Neodiprion lecontei: one gene and its partner. The main gene of each other region encodes a partner of the protein of the gene in region 2 in a complex. Links are inferred from orthologs where the notes say so. Each region holds a gene or a part of one and is shown on either strand. Other genes may lie near its edges. The genes, in order: nucleosome assembly protein 1-like 1 and (E3-independent) E2 ubiquitin-conjugating enzyme UBE2O.

The links.
Region 1: the proteins of (E3-independent) E2 ubiquitin-conjugating enzyme UBE2O (region 2) and nucleosome assembly protein 1-like 1 are in contact, whole or in part, in a cryo-EM structure (PDB 7UN6), measured with the Homo sapiens proteins. The link is inferred for Neodiprion lecontei from reciprocal best matches to the Homo sapiens genes UBE2O and NAP1L1. Residues at the interface, in NP_071349.3 of Homo sapiens: Ser225, Asn226, Val282, Lys283, Pro284, Val285, Lys289, Ser290, Lys291, Phe292, Arg293; in NP_001317160.1 of Homo sapiens: Arg333, Arg337, Thr343, Gly344, Glu345, Ala346, Ile347, Asp349.

Annotation. Positions count from the first base shown.
Region 1 is NC_060265.1:2,824,034-2,830,365, reverse strand, and holds nucleosome assembly protein 1-like 1, read right to left. Parts: upstream 4,178-6,332; 5' UTR 4,033-4,177; intron 3,581-4,032; 5' UTR 3,577-3,580; coding exon 3,421-3,576; intron 3,153-3,420; coding exon 2,872-3,152; intron 2,339-2,871; coding exon 2,185-2,338; intron 2,091-2,184; coding exon 1,953-2,090; intron 1,836-1,952; coding exon 1,688-1,835; intron 1,606-1,687; coding exon 1,486-1,605; intron 1,398-1,485; coding exon 1,237-1,397; 3' UTR 919-1,236; coding exon of another isoform or gene 908-918; 3' UTR 571-907; downstream 1-570. Other genes in the region: transmembrane protein 131, read left to right, coding at 4,381-4,474, 5,163-5,227, 5,308-5,336, 5,517-5,597, 5,707-5,830, 5,940-6,053, 6,118-6,240. UniProt on the Homo sapiens protein: Histone chaperone that plays a role in the nuclear import of H2A-H2B and nucleosome assembly.
Region 2 is NC_060261.1:3,801,196-3,806,477, forward strand, and holds the start of (E3-independent) E2 ubiquitin-conjugating enzyme UBE2O, read right to left. Parts: upstream 3,232-5,282; 5' UTR 3,100-3,231; coding exon 2,884-3,099; intron 2,195-2,883; coding exon 2,021-2,194; intron 1,887-2,020; coding exon 1,728-1,886; intron 1,631-1,727; coding exon 980-1,630; intron 888-979; coding exon 677-887; intron 591-676; coding exon 407-590; intron 281-406; coding exon 1-280. Other genes in the region: uncharacterized protein LOC107218116, read right to left, coding at 3,985-4,111, 4,189-4,271, 4,359-4,709, 4,820-4,948, 5,041-5,101, 5,223-5,282. UniProt on the Homo sapiens protein: E2/E3 hybrid ubiquitin-protein ligase that displays both E2 and E3 ligase activities and mediates monoubiquitination of target proteins. Negatively regulates TRAF6-mediated NF-kappa-B activation independently of its E2 activity.

The DNA of each region.
Region 1 (6,332 bases), on a different chromosome or scaffold from region 2:
ACGGTTGACAGGTGCAGAAACCGGAAATTATCCTCTAACTCCCCTAACCAAATCGATGGCACAAATATTAACGCAGTCATAATTAGCGTTTTCCTTTTACGACAATTTTCTGACACAACACGATACAAAGTGATTTCATTGACCTATTCCGTTAGATCTAGCCAATAAAATCACTTGGTGTCGCTTTGTGTTAGACCCATTACCTTCAGCATCCTCAGTCAATGATATAAGACCGTGCTAAGTAATAATTGGTCACGATTGTCACGAAGCAGTGCATGTGTGGTAGGACACGTCACTCCGCAATTTTTTTATTGCGGCTACTCCCGCTCCATGACATTAATTGTCGTTAACTATTCAGCTAGCATAGATGAATGTATATGCACGCACACGTGTTATCGTGCATACATATCCCCAGCTCATTAAGTCATATCCTTTAGTTTCGATATTTTGAAACAAAATTTGTTTGTTTTGTATGATAAAGGTTTATTACAAATTTAAAATTGAGTAACAACGATAGGGACGTAATCACATAAGGATTGAAAAAGTAGGGAATGAAAATGATCATTTAAATCTTTTTCACATTTTTGTATTAAAATGCCTCAACAGTACCGAAAATTCTTCTCTTTTGTATAGGTCAACACAGATTTTGAAAAAAGTTTTCAAATCATTTCCTGTCTACATACATATAAACGTAACAATAGTTTAAAAAAATATTGAAGCAATTAATAATTAGAGGAACGTTGAATATACTAGAGGAGAGAACCACATTATCAATATACTTCAGATGTTATAAACACGTTAGATGTATACGTATTTCTAAATGCGTCAAATTTACTCATCAATCGTCATGAACGTCGGATTTAGAGAGGTTTTTACACATAATTTTTTCACTGGTAAGTTGAAGTTTCTAGGCTTGATCTGGAATAGGAGAGATTGATATGATTAGCGGATGGTTTACGTAAATGGATCAGAGGCCAAAGCACATCATATTCCGTAAGCCTTCAAAGCATAGTGCAGAAGTCATAGCTGATATAAACGTTGTACACTAGAGATTTGCAAGACCGTATATATTGTGAATTCTGCATTTTGATTAGGACTTCGGAATGTTTATGTGTTTCGGTTCAAGTCGGAACTGAGGTACAATCTAAGGATAGTGGTCAATCGCGTGGTTAATGGGATGGCTTATAATAAAGTTGTATAGGTACTATGATTAGTTATTTCACATATTCTATAGTCCTACTGCTGTTTGCACTCATTGGGATTGGCTCCCTGGGGCAGTTTCGCACCTGGAGGGGCGTTAACATGGCCATCCTCTTCTTCCTCATCCACCTCGTCATCGTCGTCCTCTTCTTCAACCTCCTCTTCGTAATCATCTTCCTCATCCTCCAGTCCTTCGCCTGAGAATGCCGAAAGATTTGTACACAATATATTGCAAACTGTCTTTTGCTCACTTTTCTTTATCTAGTTTGAAATTTTGTTGAATACCTGTATAATACAGCACTGCTCTGGGTACAATACGCTCTCTTATGTAGTGACCAATTTCAAAATCGCTCGTCAAAAGGGCCTGAGTTTCGTCGTCGATTTCAGCTTCTGAATCTTCGGGTACTGTGATAACAAAAATGATTTTCAATTGCAAATTTTACCCAACGATTCTACCAGAAAAATATCAGATGACAGAATTCCTTACCAATTGGAGGACTAAAGAAATTGAAGAAGGAATCATTCTGTACAGTCTTTGTGACCGTGCGGACTGATCCACGAGATTTGTGTTTCTGATTTTTCTTGATCGTTTTTACAGTAACGTTCTTTCCTTTCTTCCAATCGATTACACAGCCCTGTTGAATTCCACAAATTACATTACCGAGTAGATTCTAGTCTAGGTAAAATAGGAAATACATTGACGCTGAATAGCAAAGCTAAATCTTTCGCATACAAATTCATTAAATTTTTACCTTGCATTTGTAGATTTCAGGTCCTTCAAAACTGAAAGGATCGCTCAACTCTGGGGCACATTTCATTGTATACTCCTTAGTGAGAACAGAGTTTGAGAAGTACTCATTTGGTTCAAAATGGAATTCCAGAACAAAGCCCTAAAATAAAAACATAACATTAAGGCTGTTAAGTTCATGCCAAGACTTGGATTTCAATTAGTTAGTCATGATTACATATTTATTCGTTGCTCACCATTGGGTTTGATTCTAGGAAAATAACTTTGACATCATAAAGATGTTTAAGAATGGGCTCATCATGTTCCTGAACCATTTCTGCCAGCATTCCCACGTTCTTGAATATTGTGAGCCAAAATTCTGGAATACCCTTGACGTTCTCATCTTTAGCCCTGAGGACGAATAAAGAGTTAGGTATGTGAAAAAAAAAAAAAAAAAAAAAATTTCGTCCGATATAGAGATATCATGACTTTTTAATAGCGATGTCTTAGTAAGAAACAGCCATGGGTGGAATATTAAAGATTTACTCTACTTTTTGAATATGTACAAATTTAACACAACCGATATCGCCGGTGTTATCAATTTTATTTCAAAGTATGGATCAAATTGTCACCCCCATGTATTCTGTACTCCACAAAGGCAGAAGGAATTAATAATACAGTTGGCAGTTCGGAGGTCACGAAAGATAAGTGGATCACGAGAGTGTATATTCTCTGATGATTCAAAACTATTCTTCAAGGACATGTTGTACGTGTTTGTTAACGTATTATGTTGTCCTGTTACCAGGAACCAATTGAATATAGCATAAGCAACAAAATTTTGCTTTATATTGAATTCTGATTGCATAAATGGTTGAGTTGATTTGATACGTTACATAAGCTATAATAATCAGTGAATCAAAAGCCTTGAAAGCAAAGAAACATACTCGTCTTTTTTCTCTTTAAGATCTTCAATCTTCACCTTAGTCTTCAATTCGCTACTAAGGCCTTGTTCTTCCTCGTCACTTTCCCACTCACACTCCTCTTCAGTTGGTTCATAGATGCCTGATACAATTTCTCCCCTCTTTTCGTACAAAGGTACGTACATTTTGTGGTATTTGCATTCCAGAGCATGAACTTCTTCATAGAACTTCGCCTCAATATTTGTAGCTACCAATTGTATTTTTTTTAAAGCTTTAATTCTACGTTTCACGGGAGCTGGAAGTGCCTGTTAAAAAAAGAAGATTGTCAAACACTTTTATATTTTCACACTAATAAATGAGAGCTGTTCACACGACATGTTATTGTTACTGATGTGTTGAGATATTGAGTTTGGAAACATGATGTAAAATTGATTTGAATCAAATATAATTTACGTCGTATATGTAAGATGTATGAATGATTAATTATCTCTGCATTGTTAAAAACATTTTTCTTTAGCATCTCCATCAAACCTGGATCCTTTAGTATAAGAGAACTACAAGCGAACAAAGTACCTCCAACATTTGTGCATGAATACGATCTTGTAAAGCTGCCAACAGATCGGGCCTGCGAAGGATCTGCGAGTTGATACCCGTAGGGTGATTCTCATCTTCATCCTCAACGAATTCCAAGTCACTGGCATCTCCAGCACGTTCAGGATCGGTGGTCATGGTTCTGGTGTAAAATAATAGCAAATAACAGAGTAAAAAAAAACTGTTCATCTTTCCCTCCCAATATGTCTGACGTTTGAATAGCCATGTAGGGAGAACAAAAGGTTGCCCGCGTGCGAACACGTTTAATTTGTCAAATCCGAAACTCCTAAAAGATCAGGATGCGGACTGATTTTCAAATCCTTGACTACGTGGATACTTTTAAATGTAAAAATACTTTCAATAAGCTGCTCGTACGAAAATATCGGAGATTATATTGTCAAAGTTTGAAGTAAAGTTTTATGCGCCGCGACCGAAGGTAGCGTGCACATGGAGCAAATTACAGATGTTAAATTAGCTGGATGAATCAATGATATTTCATATGTTAATTAACGAGCGCCGTCACGCGTGAAAAGTGGAGTACGTCGCGGATAATAAGCGGCGATTGAATTAATGATATATATTAAAAATTTATACCCTTGGTTGAGGATGCTCACAGTCCAAAAAAGACGGAGACGAACGAAGGAATGAACAGCGAACCGGTCCGGGTACCACCGTATAAAAAATAATCGAGTCTCGTCTCGACTCTCGAGTGGCGCGAACGTAGCCCGGAGACTCAGTGTTACCAACAGTCCGAAAGGTGCGAGATTCTCGAGATGCGTGCGATTGTTTCACGTATTCGGCTGGTATTCGGAGACGAGATAAGACCAATAACCACAATCGATATTGAAAAGTGTCGATAGCAATACAGAAATGGCTGACACCAGATATTCACTTCTGCTAGAGACGAAATAGCATCAGCACTAAATAACACAATATACAATTATGATTTGGAATAAAGTATGTTATAATTTTTTTTTTTTCATAACTCTAGAATTAGTGTCGAAAATTCACCCGTCTTTGCACGGACACAATAATGGTGAGTATTTTTTCCCCTGTTTTTTCGATGATCCTGTATTCCATGTTTGATTCAATATACATAACATAACACTTGTATTAAAATAAAACTAACTTTTATAAATTGAAAAGATTAATAATCAATTATGCAATTCATTTTCTAATCGCGGTTATATTTTTTTTTGGTAAATAAGATTTACTGTAGTCATATCAAAATATATTATTTCAGTCGCTTTCCCACATTACGTATTGTTTACGACACATAAAAACCACAACTGATCGTGAATAGCTTGGCTTGGAATTATCAGTTATGCTTGCGGTTAATATACATATCTACACACACACACACACACACACATATAAATATGTGTGTGTGTGTGTGTGTGTGTGTGTTGATATGTATGTGTGTATATATATATATATATATATATATATATATATATATATATATATATATATATGTATTTATATATATACATGCATATGTAATCGAAGTTTTCAATGAATTTAAAAAAAGCCATATCGAACATTACGTTTCCAATATCTGTATTATTCAGTACTCACTGAACGATTCTACAAAATAAATAGCTATGCTCTTGATACGCAAATTATAATTACACAAATGTCTTTCATTAAAAACTTGTGCACATGCTTCGTTAACGTTCATTGGTATGTTTCTATTATAATTCTTCTATGCTTCTTACTTTCAGCATTTGTGCAAGCCAACAATGAGGTCCAGTATCTTTTGGACAACATCCCTATATCCATGCACAAGGTAATGAGATCTGTTTTTTCATTCACTTCTTTCCTTTACTTCAAACTGCACAATCATATTATATTATCTTTCTTTTACAGGGATTCTCTAGTTCAGTTGAGGAGCATCGGTAAGTTAAGTAATTCTAATGAAGGTGGAGTTTCATATCAATTCAAGTCACATTCAATGATAACCTTTTGAACGTAAGAGATTCTTTTCATACTTCTCTTATTTTCACATCTTATTCCTGTTTCCTCTTTTTCTTCCGCAAACTATGCATGATCTCTATAATTGAGAAATTTTGTTGAAGGAATTCGATGTCAGATGACAACACAGTCGATGCAATATCATACATTCAGTTCAAACCAAGCATACTGGACTTCAAAGAAAGGTATGTAAATAATTTCCATTACGAAGCTGTTTAACAGGCAGTCAAAATTTTTTTGGAACTTGTGATATAATTATATTTTGAAATATAACTTTGAATATATCAATTTCAGACAGCTTGGTGTACCACATCAAGAAACTGTGACATTGTTCAATAGAGATTGTAATAAAACAATTCATGTCTCATCAATTTCTGGGAATACACAACACTTTCATTCGTCTTTTTTCCAGGATAAAGTGAGTCTTTAGCCTTGCATTTAATACTACTGATTTTATGGTATGTCCTAAGGAAAAGGAATATAACTGAGCGCTAACAGATTCATAAACAAATTTTATATGTTTAAAGGTAATCCCACCCCTTGGCAATACAACATTCAATGTTGTGTTCCTCGGTAGGGAAGAAGGTGAAATCGATAGCTATCTGTTCATTCATACCTCAGACGGTACTCTAAAATATCAGGTAATTGTGACAGGGGAGTAAAGTCAAAGAAGACGAGAGTTATCTTTTATTTTTACTGATCCAGATCCGAGGAATCAGCGTGAGCAGTCCATATCGATTACGACCTGTAGTGGGGATCAAGCTACCATTAAATGCCTCTTTCACACCTCTCATATATATGCATAATCCACATCCCGAGCCCATGCAGGTGATTACTATTACTCATACTTGTAATTCACTTTGTAAAAAAAAAATGTCCATAATGCAAAGTGATGCCCTTATTTTTTTTTTGTCATACTT
Region 2 (5,282 bases):
GGCTTCTGATGATACGTCGTCCCAGAGCTCTCCCTCGTCACTATCGTATTCCCCAACCTTATATAAGTCTTGGGGCCAACACATACTGACGTGACCATCGGCCCACCAGACCTTGACTCGACCTTCTGGATAATTATCTAATATCTGCCCAGCTGTACATCCAGCATCTTCGCCTTCGAAGTTCGCTATACGAATAACTAAGGTACCAGGTCTGTACTGGAAGTCAGGATGATCTTTCAGATCGTAAACACTGACCTCGCGTTCTTGTAACATCGTTGGCCTAGTGAAAATAATCCCATCATTAATTCATCGAAGATTTTAGTGGACTTTGAAATATAAATATCACTTGGCTCGAAGGTTATGGACACTGTTAAAAATTGCGGCAAATAATTTGTAGTTTACTCACTGAGGACTTTGGCTTGAAGTGTATGTTCTGAACCATTTTACTTTAGCCGTTCTGCCTTGATGATCAACGCTCTGTACGACGCCATACATTCTTGATTCCTCTTTTTGGTCGACGACAAAGTCACCAGGGAAAAATTCTTGGTCATCTAAGTGATGTATAGGATACAACTGGGTGGAAGGAATACCTGAATAGATGATAAACCTTGTCAGTATAGTGTCATGTATTGACACAGAGTTTCAATATGGAAAAAGAAAGTATGTGTGTTAGTACCAATTTCGACGGACCCGTCTTGCCAGACTACGTTTGCTTTTGTACTCGTCGACAAAGTTTCCACGACTATTTTCGTTCCAGGTATCAGTGCAACAGGTGCAACTTTCTTCTTTGCTTTGCACAACTTTTTTTTCTTCAGAACCTTCGTCATCAGGGCAGGTCCTCTCTTTTTTTTGCCCATAGACGCTACGCTAGAACAGCCGCTGGATACCTGTAATTTTTATACAGGCGCAGGTAGGTTTTATTGTGCTCACAAAAACAACTATCTGCGTTGAACTTGCTCATAGATTTTTTCCTACTAACCGAAGCTGTGTCACTTTGTGACCCTGTATCTTCTGTATCCCAATCATCGGAACTTTCTGCAGTGGTATTTTGTGGTGGTGGCATTAAACTGTTGTTTGCCAAGGAACTGTGCGAATTGTTGACAGGATTGTTGGCCAAATTAGCCTCCAATCGCTCGGATGTTTGACGATCCAGAATAATAGGTTTATTGTCAACAGGTTTGGTAACGCTAACGTTTACCCGGGATTTCCGCGGGCCATGCTTTGGTACGTTGAAAATTTCTCTTTGCTGTTTTCTCCACTGTTCTCGGCTGATTACATTTTCATTTTCCTTAACGGTGTAAAAGTTACGATCCCCAACTTGTAGTGTCGAGGGTTCAAATACATTGAGGAGCTTTAATTTTTTGAGATCTTCACCCTCCACTACAAACTTTGGTTGCACCTGATCCGTGCCAGCTCCGTCTTTGGAGTAGGCTCTGCACTGCCAGTGAACTCCTATTGAATCAGTCTCTATTTTCTCAACAACAACTTTGGTTATTTTTTGCGGCTTCAACTTTCTCTTTGCCTTTAATTCCTTAGTGCACAAAATCCATTGCGCGTCTTCCAGACAATGTAACGGCCCCCAGAGGCTTTGACCTGGATAGAATTCGGAGGAATGTGGAAAATCGTTATCCTGAAATAAAAAAGGATCGGTGGTATAAGGTGAGCATTGAAGTATCGGAAATTGATCCGATGCTCATTCCACAGATCAGTGTTGAATTACACGTTACATTTTCTCGCTTTTCTTCAAACTGTTCCAGAGCACAGGCATCTATTTCATTTATCACACAACGTGATCCATCCGGCATTGCCAGCCATAATTTTGAATGGACCATCTTAATTCCACCGACCCAAGAATCCATGCACACGGCTATGTCCGTAGAAAATTCCTGCAAATGTTGAATTCTGACATTAGGACAGATCGTATTGCAAAAAATACTCTCGTTTCAACATTGACATCAGACATGACTAGATTGGATGTCTGTAAAAACTGATGTTAAAGTAACGTCGAACTGCTATGCACCTCCAGTGGCACCAAATCTTCACTTTTAACATTAGTCAAGATTTGTTTAGTTCCAATGACTTGAACACAAGCGGTTAATTCGATGTCTCGACAGTAGCCTCTCTGGGTGTCCTTTCCCTTAATCATACGACGTACAACGTCACCTGGCATCAGTGATCTGTCAGCCAGATGTATCTAAAAAAAAATTAAACAACAAATGGATAATTGGTTGATGTAACAACTACCTAACAATGGGGAGGCTTAAAAAAAAGGTTAAGGTATAATCTTGAGCAAAATGACGAGACATTCGATGTTTTACGGCCCAATTAACAATAGCATGTTTCAATTAGATGAAACATTCACCATGTTAAAGTTCATAACGATTCATGCTGAGGAAAAACCGTTACTTCGCGATTTTGGAATTATTTGAATTCAGTACACCATAATAAAATAAAACATACTCATATTTTGAAATCCTTTTTCCTTCCAAGTGATTGTAAAAATAAGAAAATAGTGATTTTTCCCCCAATGTTTCGATACGATAACGTTACAAACTTCAATATCGTGAACATTCCGGGTATGTTCGAAATTCAAAATTAGCGCCCAGTGAAATGCGAAGTATGTTATGCGCCGTTTCTTCATTTTGGCAAGTTGCAGATACGTTGATTGAAGTGTATATCGGTAGGATATGCGGTATTTTATGACGTGAAAGTAAAGCTTATACGCAGCGAACCGGTTGATTGATCGGGTGGCAAGCGATTCCGATTTAGGGGTAGCGTAAGAAGGGAGAAAGAGAAAGAGAGAGAGTGATAGGGATAGATAGAGATAACAGAATGAAGTGGGAAAGGAGAGCTGGGAGGAGTAGCTCGTTCGGGAATTATCACCTTCTTAGAATTGACGAGTTCCTCGACGCCGGAGGGGTGCCAGACAGCGTGGATCTCTCCCTGTTTCCGCTTCGGACTCTCCTCGTTGTCCGAACTTTCGTCCGATGAGTCGGGGTCGTCGTTTCCCATGACGATGCCAAACTCAACGTTACCTCGCTTGTCCACGCGGTAAATAACGTCCTCGTAGAAATATTCAATCATCGTGTTCGCAGCCATGTTTTCTATCCTTATATCGGTCCGGGGTTAGTTCGTTGAGACGGTCGGTTGCATACGCACTAGATACGCACACACTCCGCGGTCAGCCGTCGGCTCGGTGCCTCGCTCTGGCTCTTTGCCTGCTGCCGACGACAGCCGAGCAGCTGACGACGGATGACAGAACCAATCTTACGGCGCACACTCACCGCCAACGATGGCCGGGCGATCGCGCCTTGACCCTAAAGACGCGCGCGCCGGGATTTAGGCGATTCTCGACGTTTCGAAGCGGTCCATTCTCTGCCCTTCATCGTTCGGCCCTTCGGGACCCATTTTTGTTTTTTAGTTTCACCCCGTGGCAACCCTTTTTTTTCAACCTCTTGTTTTTGTTTCGATCTCGTTTGTCTTCTCCTTCGCTCGCTTCAATTATTCAAAAATAAAAACGCGCCCTCTTTGCGTGGACTTCGATCGTATGTATCCTCATTTCGAAGCGATGCGTTGTGTGCAGAATCAAGTTCCATTTTAGTCTGCGTTAATTTATCTGAGGGAAAATTGAGCGGCCGAGAGACTAAGGAAACAAAATCTTCTAGGTACACTTAAAATTGGGGAATTGATTTTTATTTTGTAAAAACCACGAAGATTAAAATCAACGCGGTATCTACAAGATGTATACATTGTACATGTTAAATTAGGCAGAAAATATACATTTATTTGAAATTCTTTTGATATCGCATATTAATTGATATATTGTTGTTTTTCTTAATTCCTTGATGGAATATATTGTATTCTTATTAACAGCTTGTCAATCTGCGTTGAATTATTTAGCCACCGTTACGGCAGCCCTGTTTCCTTTACATAAGCTTGAATATTAGGCAACCCCTAGCCAAATTTGACAATGTAAACGAACATTCATACAGCAAAGTGTGTTCGCTGGAAACCTTGGCCTAAACTCTGCAAAATTGTTTGTACTTCTTCTTCGTTGTGATGGAAAAATATATAGGCATTGAACTTTGTCGCCACGTTACAGTTTTTGTCTCTGAAACAAGATAGATAACATAACAATTGTTACAATTTTTCACCAACAATTGCACGTAACTTTGATAATTATCTTACCCCGCAATGAACGCAAAGTAGTCTGGAATATTAGCAGTACGCCCGCATGATGATATTTCCATATAGCTGTGCTTCGAAATGATCTAGAAATACCATACAGTACACAGTTAGAACAAAAATATCTCTCAATGGCTAAAGCTAAATATCTCGTTGATCCAAATAAAACTTACATTATCATCGTTTGCCCGTGTGACTCTGACTCCTATCTCCAAGCATTCGAACCTGACACTTGTCGACTGGAAATCCTCAGACTTTAAGATTCGCCAAATGGCTTTTTCGATCTGTCTTACATCACCTTCCGTTCCAGTAGAAATAGAACCGCAGTACTTGAGCACGAATCCAGCTTTCAGCTGTTCGTTCTCTGTATTAGAGTTGTTTACCCCTGATTTATCATCTCCGATACAATCGGGTTTCAGAATCGGACTTCTCTGGAGTAGTAATTTTTTCATATGATCGATATTTGAGCTGCGAATCAGGTGAACAATTGGTCCGTAAACATCTCTGGATTGTTTATACCGATACTAAAACAGTTATAAAACTGCTGTGGTAAAATCACGTCAACAATACGTCGCAATTGACGGTGCCTGACTAGTAAGTCGTGTCATAGGAAAAATAACCATTTGATCCATACTTTAATGATATGAAGAGATATGGGTTGTCCTATTGCCTTTTTCATGATTTTTCCAAGTCTTCCCTTGGCGCTAGCAGTTATAACGTTTCCGTTGATCTCATCCAAGACATCTCCAAGCTCAATTTTGTCCTGATAAGAGTATCGCAATAATTATGCCATTGCATTGATTATAAATAATTTTATGCATTGTAGCTAAATATGATTTTACAAAATATTCTTACATCTTCGGCAGCGACTGAATTTTCGTCTAAATTGACGACCAGAGCCTTCCCCTCTATGAAGCTGGACAGAAACGTAAAGAAGAGATTTTTATTAATAAGTATCGAGCGTTTACGTGAACGAGATTGACGCTACTTAAAGTTACATGCGTTTGCATCATCAATATCTAATCATCTAAACTTACGAAACCGACATGCCCATTGTCTTACAAGGCACGAGTTCAAGAGCTGAGCACTCAGGAAGC